Coturnix japonica: one gene and its partner. The protein of the gene in region 2 purifies or fractionates together with the protein of the main gene of each other region. This does not show direct contact. Links are inferred from orthologs where the notes say so. Each region holds a gene or a part of one and is shown on either strand. Other genes may lie near its edges.

Region 1 (5,291 bases), about 40 Mb from region 2:
TGTGTATACTTCTATTAATTTTACAGGAGACAAGTGTTATCCAGAACAGAACTATCCCACACAAAGCAGGGCAGTGGGGTGCAGCAGGCTGTAGATGGTACGGCAGTGTTCTGTTTGTTGCAAGGGTGAAATTACAGTGAATGATGAAGGATTTTTTATTTCTCAGCAAAGGGATTTGAACAGCATCCTGGAGAATTCTACCCTATCAAATTCTAAACAGATTCCTCCCTGACGTTTCTGTATGCACACTTTGGATACTGGCACTTCAGTCCTGAAGCAAATTCTTGGCCAAGTATACAGCTCTAGTGGACGGACTGAGTATCTGGGTGATGAATCAACAAAAACAAGGAACCACCCTAATCAAGCTGGTAGAGTAACTAACACCCATAAATGCGGTTCCTTAACCTCCTGATTAAAATGTTGTAGTCTTAAGCTTTCCTAATGCATTTTATTGTCAATTTTCAGGCGTGAGTGTACATGCATACCCACGCAGAAACAGTAGCATGAAGATTTCTTCACCTTGCTCGGTACTCAGCTGTGGACAATACAGTGGGAGGAAATGCAGCCAGAGCAGCTCTCCTGAACTGACCGAAGAGATGCCCCACACCATGTAATGTCATGTTCAACAATAAAACTGGGGGAAGTTTGCAAAGAATTGCTGTTGCTTGCGGACAGGCTGGGCATTGGTGGACTGGTGGTAAATTATTGCTTTTATGCCATTTCCTTTGTTTTATTAATTTTTTACTCTTTTACTTATTGCGATGTCTTTATCTCAAATGATGAGTTCTCTCGCTTTTGTCCCTCTGCTTCTCTTCCCAGTCCTACTGGAAAGAGTGAGTGGGTGGCTTTGTGGTGCTTAATTCTCAACAGGTGTGGATGTATAACTCACAACACGAGACTGTGAATGAAACAGCAGCTGAAAACCAGAGTAATTTTCTGAGGAACAGGAGATAAACACTGTACCACCCAGAATAATTTAATTAACAAGCCTGACAAAGAAATCTTAACTAGCTGGTACAGCTTCACCTCAGTTATTTATTGTTCATGAAAAGCAATAAAAAATCCCTTGTGCTTTCCAACAAAAACAAGGCAGTTCATGCCCCTGCTGACTTTGTACTCTAGCCACCATTAAAAAAAAACACAAACCACAACAGACGTACCACAACTTCATGTAAGTGACATGACAATAGCAGCCTTTCTAAGGAAGGGTATGGTGAAGACTGTAAAAGCAGAGAAAGATTTACTCGTAGAGTCGTAGGGCTGTAGCTCCTTCCTGTCTTTATCTGAACAAGGCAACCTGTCAAAGTGAGAGCACACCAGACCAAGCCCTTCTCTCCCATTTGTATTATACTTGCAGCCAGCGTTTGTGTTATGGAACAACTTCAGTAAACCTTTGCCAGTCTTCATCTCATCTAAACACAGCCACTTTTGGTTAGGCTCCCTCAGCAGACAATGGAGAGATATGGGCATGTTCAAATCAAGCATGCCTTGCTTTAGCATTGCTCACTGCAACGATGGAAAGAATCATCTTCTGAAGGTTAACTGTGTCCTTTGACTTCATAGGTAATTGAGGTGACTACTTTAAACACTTTATTTTCAGACAACCATGATCAGGTGCAAGAAACACCCTGTCTTGATCTATACCACTTGAGACTTGTGGATATAACACATCATACTTGTGAATAACACACACACAAAACTGTCCAGGTGATACTGTCTATTAAAATAAAACATCTTCAGAGCCACAGCATCCCAGAATCACTGAAACTGGCGAGGAGCTCAGAAGATCTCTTAATTCAGCTCCCATCCCTGGCACAGGGTCGATTACAGCTGATTGTGCAGAGCCGTGGACAGTCAGGTTCTGAATATCTGCAAGGCTTCGGACTTTATAGCCTCTCTGAGAAACCCTTTTCAGTGTCTGATCAATCCCAAAGTATTAAAAAATAACTGATTGGGTTTTTTAATGTTTAAGAGGAATTTTCTCTATTTCATTTTGTGCCTAATGCTTCTGGTCCCATCACTGGGCACATCTCAGAGAGGAGGCTCGGTTTTCTTTATTCCCCCCATCAGGTAATTTATGCACACAGACAGACAAGATCCCTGTTTGTGTGAGTCTTTTATTGTAAAACCTGAAGAAATCCATAAAAATCTTTATATAGAAGCTGATGTAATAACTTTACATAAATGCACCCTATTGCATATTTATGTTGCCGTGATATAAAACACTTTGAAAGACTCTTTGCATACAACATACTTACTGGTGAACACCCAGTACTTCCCAGTCCTTCCCAACGTCCTTAAGAGCAATGTTCTGTAGAGTGCTTGGACAAATTTCTATCAGTTTGCAAAGAAGTGACCAACCCATCTGTAAAATAATAATACAGTTATTGTAGAACAGATACTCCATTTGGAACCCCAGCGTTGTGTTTTAATACCCCGGCTTTCAGAAGATACATGTTCTGAAAAGATACCTAGCTAAATGAGAGGTGTTTCATTAACACAAGACAAGACAAAGGACACAAAAAATTAAGAGCTGAAAGTAAAACACGCTAATGATTCTCAGTGCATCACCTGGAACAACACACCACCTTGAGGCTAGAGAACACACACACAAGAGATGCTGAGAGAGAAAAATAAGACAGGAGATCCCTGGTATTCCATCATGGGCCTCTAAAGATCACTGGACTATTGCAGCTGTTCCAGCTTCACTGAAGCACAGCACTCACCATAAGAATTTGATGCTTAATTGCAAATGATGAGGAGAAAAGATGTATTCAGTTTTGGAAACTGTCACTCTAAGTCAAGTGCCTGGACTTTCAAATAGCAGAAAAGAATGCTGGAAATAAACAAGATAAATAAGCTGAAATAAAATGCTCCTCTTTGGTTGTCCATGCTGGAGAAATCTGTTCGCTGATAGTGGAACAATGGTCTTTATCATTATGACAGCATGCTGGGCATATCAGCCTTCAAGCTGATAAAACTGAACATGTGGACGATAGCACTGAGCAAAATCCATGCAACAAAATAATTAGCTGATGAACAAGAAAACCCCGCTGTACTGGAAGAGAGGAAGAGAGCTGAGAAATGTCAAAAGTTCAAGACAAAATAGATTTCACGTATAGGAATGGAAACAAAGCATTCCTGGCCATGTTAAAAAAAGAAAGAAAAAAAGAACAAAAAGTGGAAGTAGAACTGTGCGCTGTAAAAATAGGGTTTAAATAGGAGACAACAATCCCTGTGGCAGGGGGGTTGGAACACGATGATCCTTCCAACCCAAGCCATTCTATGATGCTATAATTTAGGTATAGCTCAAAAACAATAAGCACAATTAAACCAGATTTCAGCAGGAGAGCTATATAAAGTCAAGAGAAGGTCAAGACAAGACAGCTACCAAAAACAGGAAAGTAAGCGGGCTTTTCTGTGGAGTCTAACTGTATAACTGCAGAGTTCACAGAGATTCTGTGATCTCTAATCCTGCAGCATGAAAGACAAGAGACACAAGCAGCACAGACTACAAACTTGGCAGCTTTCATGACCGCTTTGGCACGTCTATGAAAAAGGTGATGTAGCTCCCAAGGCAAGAGAATTCTGAGAATACTTCATAGGTCACAGGCACCACGTTCACGCTGTCTGCAGTAGCTTTGCTTTTGTTGTAGTGCACATTTGCAGAGCCAAATATTTTAAGGCGATTTAACTCTTCAGCTCAAACTTGCAATTTGAGCTTAACCATGAGTCAGTTGTCATGCTTTTCCCTTGCTTAGGCAGTGAGCTGAGTTGTTCCGTGTTGAAGTGTAAACCAATTACTGTGGACAGTCAGGAAAATTAGGGGGTTGGCATGATGATCTCTAAGGTCCCTTCCAACCCGCACGAGACTGTGATACTGTGAACTAGTCTAGGCTGTGTGACGGAGTCTCAATCAACTTTTGAAGAATAGCATCCACCAAAGCTCCCCAATATGGGGTTATATATCATCTAATTTTCCATGTTCAAAGCAACAAATATCAAATCTGCAAGACAAATACATTGCAGAGGTGACCATTAATTGATACCCTGTAGACTACTGAAAAAAGATTCTGAAATACCACTTTCTGCCATAGGAACTGCTAAACTTAGAACCCAATGAAAATTAGCACAGTGACTTTACAGAAGTAACTTTTGTACTAAAATGGACTGTAATATTGATGTTTCTATTGATCGCTTTTACTTGCATTATTGTGACTCCAAGTGTGCCAAACATTCGTAAGGACTGTGTAGTCAGGGAAGTCAGAAGCAAACATGTGACCCAATGATATGTGGTCAGTTTTACAATATTAAAATCACAGTCTGAGATAACAAAGAGCTCATTATCAATTTACAGTTCCATAAGCAAGCAGAGATTTTTTAAATAACAGAAACACTAAAGGTTACAGGGGACAGAAAAAAGCACAGAACACAAAGATATTCTTAAAAGCATCTGAGCTTTTAAGACACAGACAGCTGATAGCAGCACTGAAACTCTTGTTATTTTTAAATTGAGTCCTTTTCATTTCTAGCATGCAATGAATTGATATGACATTAGCTCACACCCTTCTGTGTGACACAATAAAGCTCTGCTGGCTGCTCTTTCCTCAAGTGTGTACAAATTCCGCTCCACAGTTTCTAACCCACTCCAGTCAGCGTCAACCAGGAATTGCATAAAGAAGCTGCCACGTTCACTTAAAAGATGTCTATTTTACTTCATGGTGGTATTGACCTTATAGCTCAGTCTCTTTCTACTTATAAAGGAGCAGTAAGGCTTATGCCCATAGCCTGACTTGCACTGACACCTGAAATATTGAGCTGTTAAGCAAATTGACTCTGTACAAGCTGGTGGAACAGCAACAGCACACAGTGCTTTGCAATTGGTGAGTATGGGATGGCAAAGAAAATCCTCATTTCAGATACAGCTCTCACTGTGCTTACTCTGTTATGTGAGTCACTTTTATCGCAATGCCAAAAGGGTCAATCAATTTATTCAATGAAAACTCATTAGCAGTATGAAGAGACTACAACGAAATTGGGGCCACGTCCTCTTGCTGCTGCCATAAGATTTTGTATTCACAAAGGTTGCAATGGGTGCAGCAAGGAAAGCAGCCCTGCTGAGACACTGTGGGTGTTTGCAAATACTATAATAGAACATGAAGAAAGAGCTGCCCATGGCATTTTGTGCAGATTGGAGCTCTGCGCTGCCTCTGAGCTTTGTTTTGATGCCTTAGTACAATGGAGTAATGCAAAGAAGTCATTTTAAAGCTCTGCACCAAATCAAAGTTGAG
Region 2 (6,930 bases):
TCCTGGCTTGGGTTTGTAAATTGCCTACCCAGTTGCTTGGCACAACTTTGAGTTTGCCAACATGGATTAGGATGTGTTGCTGGATGAACCAAGTCCCTTCTCTGCAGGGAAGGGCACTGTAGTTCCGTGCAGCATAAAATAAAAACACAAAAATAAAAACGTAACAAATTGAAAGCATGCAAAATAAAAATGTAATGCTCATCCACGGGTCAATCATAGTCTTAAGGAACAGCTTGTTTGGATGGCAGCATCCAACAGACCAAACTATGTTAAGCACTATAAGATACACTTGCACACTGGAAGTCCCAAAATAGCATTTACTATTGCTCAGCCTTCACAAATGTCCACTTGAAAGGTCTTTTATAAATATCTTTGTGAATTGCAGCTGCTTATTCATGCAATTTCATCATGAAGTCTCTATTATAATCGTCACTGCAAAGCACAACTTTTTCCTTTCTAAAATAATGCTGGTGTTAGGAGAATTCCTTTGTTACAGAGCTAGCACTAAAGTTAGTACATATCTAGGTCAGTGACTTGTAGAAACCCTAAAGAGATGCCAAGAATTAAAGACCTGGAAAAAAAGAAAAAAAGAAAGAATAAGAGAAAAAAGAAATAGGGAATTCACTTCCACACATCTCTAGGCACTGATTCTGTTGATGTTTAATCTAAAAGTCACGCTCTCTTCTGTCATGTAGGTATTTCTATTATAATACCTACACCTCCTTCACAGAATCACAGAATGACCCGGGTTGGAAGGGACCTCAAGGATCATGTAGTTCCAACCCCCCTGCCTGGCAGGGCCACCAAACATACACCTTTACTAGATCAGGTTGCCCAGGGCCCCGTCCAACCTGGTCTTGAACACCTCCAAGGACGGGGCATCCACAACCTCCCTGGGCAGCCTGTTCCAGGGCCTAACCACTCTCCTAGTGAGGAGTGTCCTCCTTAACACATAAAAGGCCATAACTCAGTTTTCTTCCCTGCATCTCATTTTAGCTCAGTATTAATGTGTTTGGTTGAGGCACCTCAATACAACCTCAATATCCCTTGCCACAAAGCAAAGTATCGATATCAAAGACATCATAAGGACAATAGGGTTTGCGTAGCATTCCCAGCCTCTACACTGCTTCACATTTCAGCAACACAGCTGTAAGGTGGCAACTGAAACACTGAATCAGGAAAAACAGCACACCTACTGGGAAGGACAGCGAAACCCTAAAATAGCAATACATAGTTGGCCGTGTAAGGGTGCCCTGCAAGTCCTATCATCGGCAGTTTTCTTAGCAGATTCCATACCAGGGTACAGAGATGACTTTTACAGTCAACTATGGGGGAAAGCTTGGAGTCACACAGCACTTAACCAAAAATATCTTAAGGGACAACGCTGTTAAAAGGCAGGTTTCAAAAACACATGGAAGCCAATTCTCAGCAGCAAAACCGTCAGCCCTAAGGACATATGTGAGACATCTCCAGAAACCTGGGCTGCCATAAACTACATTGAAAGGACTAAACGAATACAATCTTAAGTATGAAATAACTGCAGAAAATAACTACAGAGTCACTGCGTCCATGAAGACAATTATATTTTTCAGGAGCTGAGACTTAAACAAAAGAACAAAATTTGGCTACAGTTTCCCATCCAATTTGCTACATATTTTCCTGAGGTAAATAAAGGCATTCAAGCTGGTCTCCTAAAAGATACAGTACCACTATACCTTACTCACAGGTCTTAACACCAAAGGGGTATTAATACAGAAGGGCAGACTACTCATTTCCACTGTCTTCTTTCCTGGCCTGACTACGGAAGTTTGAAGCTTCAGCTTAGTCAGTGTTGTTATGAGTCAGAATTCATGGTTTGTCCAGGTCTCAGGAAATCCAGGATTACCCTTTTCCCATCCCAAAAGACAACGTGCATCACTTTAACCACTGAGGGCTGCGCCCTGTTAAATTCCCATTGAAGAAGTTTGTATCACCACTCCATGGACAGCCATTGGAACTTCGGTTCCTAGTGTTGACACCGTGTCCTGTCACTGATAATGATTCAATACAGGAAACAGTCATCTCATATTGGTTCAGCAGGACCTGATAAACCTGCATATGATGTTCGTTCTGATCCTGTGTGAGAACTCATGGGACCCACCCAGCACTAAATTTGTGATATTCCAACATTGCCACCATCATTTCCAATGCAATGAAATTGATATTTAGGTCTGCACACAATTCTCTGCTTGTAATCTGCTGATCTGTGTGGATGAGCGGACTGAGACGGTCTTCATTTCATGATGTGACAGCTGTGCATGGATGTGTGGAACATGGCTTGCCCTTCACATCGCTGTCACCGCAGCTGAAATGCACCACCCACTGCCTCACTGCACTCACATCCAATGTTTGGGCTCCATAAAGGTTCAACAAGCATCAAAGAATGACAACGAGTGCCATTTTTTCTGCGGAGGAATTCAGTTCCCCACATTTGTTTCATATGCGCTTCCATATCAGACACCACTTAGTCAGCCTGCCCCTCTGCTGCCATCTGTTACACCGCAACATAATGTAATGAACAGAATATTGACGGGAAGGTTCAACCTCTACTGCCAAAGCACCTACATCCACCTCTGACACTGTAGGCCAATACAATAAACTAGGAGGCATGACTTCCAAAGTAGCCTCTGTATGCGAAAATAGTCCTATGTACTCCATGTACTTTTAAGTTAACTAAGTTAACTAAGATAAGGTCGTTACAAAAGACTTCAGCACATTGGAATGAAGCTGAAAGGCATATTTCCATGAATTTCAAGTATAAAAACATCACACCTCTGCTTTACACCCTTCTGATAGAGAAATAAAAAAACAGCATTGACAACAACAAAATCAGTTTATATTGTTAATATAATGAGATTGGAAGTTTCTACACAGCAAAGGGCTCCTGCGATCAGCAGAAACCAAGGACCTGATATAACTGACCAGTACAAAGTCTCCTCCTCAGCGCCGGTGTTGTGGATCTCTTTTATAAGGCAGCTGACACAGAGTCTCTGAACCAGCTGACTGATGGTGGTTAAGCAAAGGAAGAGCTGCCTACCCTACAACCACACCACAACTGGCTTTGAGGAAAGCCATGCCATGCTTCAGCTATAAGCTTGCAGTCGGTGCCTTCAAAGCCATGTAACGATACCCAGCTGCAGAGCATCTAGCACAATTCTCTTGATGTCAGCCTACTATTGTCAAGTAACGGCATATATTCAATAAATAAAAAGAAAGAAGGTGATGTACTAAAGCCAAGTTTTGGTTGTGTTTAATGTTTCATTTTCACTTCTCCTATGACCGCCACCGTTCTGGACTGGAAGTTATGCTGAGGAACAGCGTCCCGTTTGGACGCTGGGTCCTCCAGAAGGGTTTGGAGTCCCGTTTGGATACACCAGAAGGATCTGAAGTCCCGTTTGGATATATCAGAAGGGTCTGGAGCCCCGTTTGGATACATCAGAAGGGTCTGGAGCTGCTCGTTCAGCCCCTCAGCGTTACCAGGCTGGGACACACTGTAACGCCAAGACAGGCCGCTTTGGCTGCCAACAAAGAGGTCCTAAAGGCGGCACAACAGCTCAGCGACCCCTCAGCACAGCCGACACCCGCAGGTGCCGTCCCTCTGCTCTCCATCCCTTCAGCTCAGCGGCCCGTAGGCCGGGGGGTTGCCCCGGGGAGCGCCGCGGCCGTTAGAACCGGCGGGGGAAGGAGGGCGGTGGCACGGGCACTCCCAGCGCCAACGGGGGGGGCCGCGGGCACAGCTAAGGGCGTCCCGGCCGCCCTCGTCCCCCCGTGCCCTTGGAAACGGAGACCGCGGCTCAGCGGCCCCAGAGGAGCAGGGGACGAGCCGACATTAACCCGGGGCGGTGCGGCCCGGTCGTACCCGCCGCCTCGTCCCGCCCCGCCTCACCTGCGTGCCCACCACCACGATCTGCGGCAGCTGGATGATGTCGGCCCCCACCGTGTTGAAGACATCTTGCAGCTTGTTGATCACCGGGATCAGAGCCTCCATGGCGGCGGAGGCGGACACAGCCCGGAGGGGCTGAGGGAACAGAGAAAGCCGGGGAAGACGTCGGCGATGAATGGGCGCGACGGGCAGCGGCTCCCGTCAGCCGCCCCCTCCGCCTGCCGCCATTGGAGCCGGCCCCCGCGCACGGCGCGGCCCCCAGCGGGCAGTGCGGGCTGAGCGCCGCGGGGATCCACGGGACATGTAGTGAGGAATGGGGCCGGCCGCACTGGGCCCAAGGCCTGTGGAGATCGTCCATTCGCTTAGGTGTGCTGAAACCAATTGCTCTCAGAGCTATTAGGATCATTAACACAGAATCACAGAATGACCCGGGTTGGAAGGGACTTTCAAGGATTCATGTAGGTTCCCAATTCCCCCCTGGCCTGGCTAGGGCGCCACCAAACATGACACATTTTACTAGATTCAGGTTTGCAGGGCCCGTCCAACCCCTGGTCTTGAACACCTTCCAAGGACGGGGCATTCCACAAACCTCCCTGGGCACCTTGTTTCCAGGCCTTAAACCGACTCTTCCTAGTGAAGAGACTTCCCGTCCTAACATCAATCCTAATCTTCCCTCTTTTTAACTTTAAAACCATTTCCCTGTGTTCCTTGCTATTAGTCAGCCCTTTCGAAGAGTTTACTCCCCTCCTGGGAGTAAGTTCCCTTAGGTATTGAAAGGCTGCAATGAGGTCACCCCGCAACCTTTCTAGGCCTGAACAACCCAACTCAACTCATACAACACAGTGTATTGCATATAAATACATAAGGATGTGGAAATTAAACCTAGATCTGGATGTTTCTAAGCTACTAGTGGTTGGAAACAGGGTGACTGTCGTGCACAAGCGCTCAGTGCTTGACCTTTAGTCCATCCCAATATGGCTATTCTTAGAATTTAATCAGTGTAATATATTTCATTAAGAACACAGTGAAAATATCATTTGCCAAAATGTGTAGAGATAACTCAGCTTTCCCAGCAGAACTGTCAAAAAATACCATCAAGGACACTATACCCACATGGAGAAACACAACTTAAATGGATGAAATGAATTAATGAACAGAAGAGAAACAAGAAGAGCGGACTAAATAAGACTAAATAAGATTAGGAAACCCAAGGAAGAAAATCTTACCACATTGTCTATTTCTGGCTAAAAAGTGGGTTCTGGAAATACCTTTGCTATAAAATGTTGTGTCTATTACCAACTTACCAAAGCCAGCATTTACCTCAATCCAGAGCAACTGCACCAAAGCAATCATCATTTTGGCAAGCAGTGACCATCCTGAGCTTTAATTATCTAATTTCCTTAATAGGCTTATGTTGTACAGGGCAAGAAACTCAAAGATCTGATAAGAGACAGACTGGTTTTTACTAAAGGTTAATTAACATAAGAAAACAGGAACTGCCGCACTGAATCTGACCTGATATAAATCTACCTCAGGATGTCATTTCTGAGTACGTTAAGCACCAGGATTCCTGGGGAAATTATAAAAGTATGGTAATAAGATCTTCTGATCACAGTCCTGTGTATTAAATCTGATTTTGTCTGTAAAATCTGAAGCTGACAGATCAACGTGCCTTCTGTTTTATCGATGCTACTTGAAACCAGATTGTTCTGTTTGCATTATACCATATAATATATTTCTGTGTGCCATGGAGTAAAATTCTTGGCTGCAGCAACATCCTGCAATAGTAAATTTCATGATCTAATTACTCATATTGCAAAGAAAACCAATTTGGTGTCAGCTTTGAAATTCTTGTGTCCTAATTTCATTATAAGCTTGCTTGTTTTCGTGTCTGAAGTCAGAACAAAATTAACAGAATTTCCAATTCTCCTTCTCCACTGTGTGAATTTCTTATACTGTTTTGCATCATCAGCTGCTTCCTTTAACTCAGACAAATCGCCATCCCTGGATGTGCTTAAGAGGCGTTTGGATGTGGTGCTCAGGGATATGATTTAGCAGAGGGCTGTTAGAGTTAGAGTGCTATGGTTAGGCTGCGGTTGGACTTGATGATCTTCAAGGTCTTTTCCAACATGGGTAATTCTATGATTCTATGATTCTATAGTGACATGCAGAGAAGAGCAGACCACTCATCTGCTATTTAATGACTTCATGCCAGAAAACTACAAGCTACCATGACATTAAAGGTTATTTCCTTGCTGTCATCTTTGTCTAGAGGAAGAAATATTTGATAACCACATTTTAAAGTTTCAATTATGTAATGTAACATGTGCAGTGTGTACACCACCATACTACTTAGTACTGCACAAAAAGTAATGGCAAAATATTTTTGTAAATTATTCCTTGATAATGTCAACTTGGCAAATTCTCAATACAAAATACTACTTTTCAACATAGGTACCATCATGAGCTACACCACATTTTCACTGGCAATAAATAAGGTCCTGCATGCCATGCTCATAAAAATCTTCACCAGTGGAAGTGACCCACTGTTTCACAGCTGCTATGACAGTGTAGTTGGTAGGAAAATGTTGCCCACACAGTCCATCTTTCATTGGCCTGAACAGATGGAAGTCAGAAGGTGCCAAATCTGGACTATATGGTGGATGTTGTAGGACAGTCCAACCAAGGTTGACAGCGTGATTTTCATACTGGTATGGCACCTGGTGTTACGGTGTTGCAAGAGAAGAGCTATCTTCTTCCCCAGACTGACTCTGGAAGTTTGAGCCTTCAGCTTAGTCAGTGTTGTAATGTAGTAGTCAGAGTTGATGGTTTGTCTGAGTTCCAGGAAATCCAGAAGGATCACCCTTTTCCCATCCCAAAAGACAGCACACGTCCTTTTACCAACTGAGTAATGCATCTTGAACTTCTGTTTCCATGGGGAATCTCCATTTTGACAGCTCTCCATGAACTGTTCTGACTGGCTTATAGTGGTAACACCACCTCCTGTT

Evidence for each region. Proteins that work in one complex are often made in the same cells at the same time.
Region 1: the proteins of DNM1L (region 2) and LRRK2 purify together in Homo sapiens (co-immunoprecipitation; 6 studies listed by BioGRID and IntAct, with this or other methods). This does not show direct contact. The link is inferred for Coturnix japonica from reciprocal best matches to the Homo sapiens genes DNM1L and LRRK2.

Annotation. Positions count from the first base shown.
Region 1 is NC_029516.1:13,506,022-13,511,312, forward strand, and holds part of LRRK2 (leucine-rich repeat serine/threonine-protein kinase 2), read right to left. Parts: exon of another isoform or gene 2,408-5,291; coding exon of another isoform or gene 2,366-2,407; coding exon 2,259-2,365; intron 656-2,258; exon of another isoform or gene 466-655; intron 369-465; exon of another isoform or gene 167-368; intron 1-166. UniProt on the Homo sapiens protein: Serine/threonine-protein kinase which phosphorylates a broad range of proteins involved in multiple processes such as neuronal plasticity, innate immunity, autophagy, and vesicle trafficking.
Region 2 is NC_029516.1:53,515,299-53,522,228, reverse strand, and holds the start of DNM1L (dynamin-1-like protein), read right to left. Parts: upstream 4,188-6,930; 5' UTR 4,028-4,187; coding exon 3,926-4,027; intron 1-3,925. UniProt on the Homo sapiens protein: Functions in mitochondrial and peroxisomal division.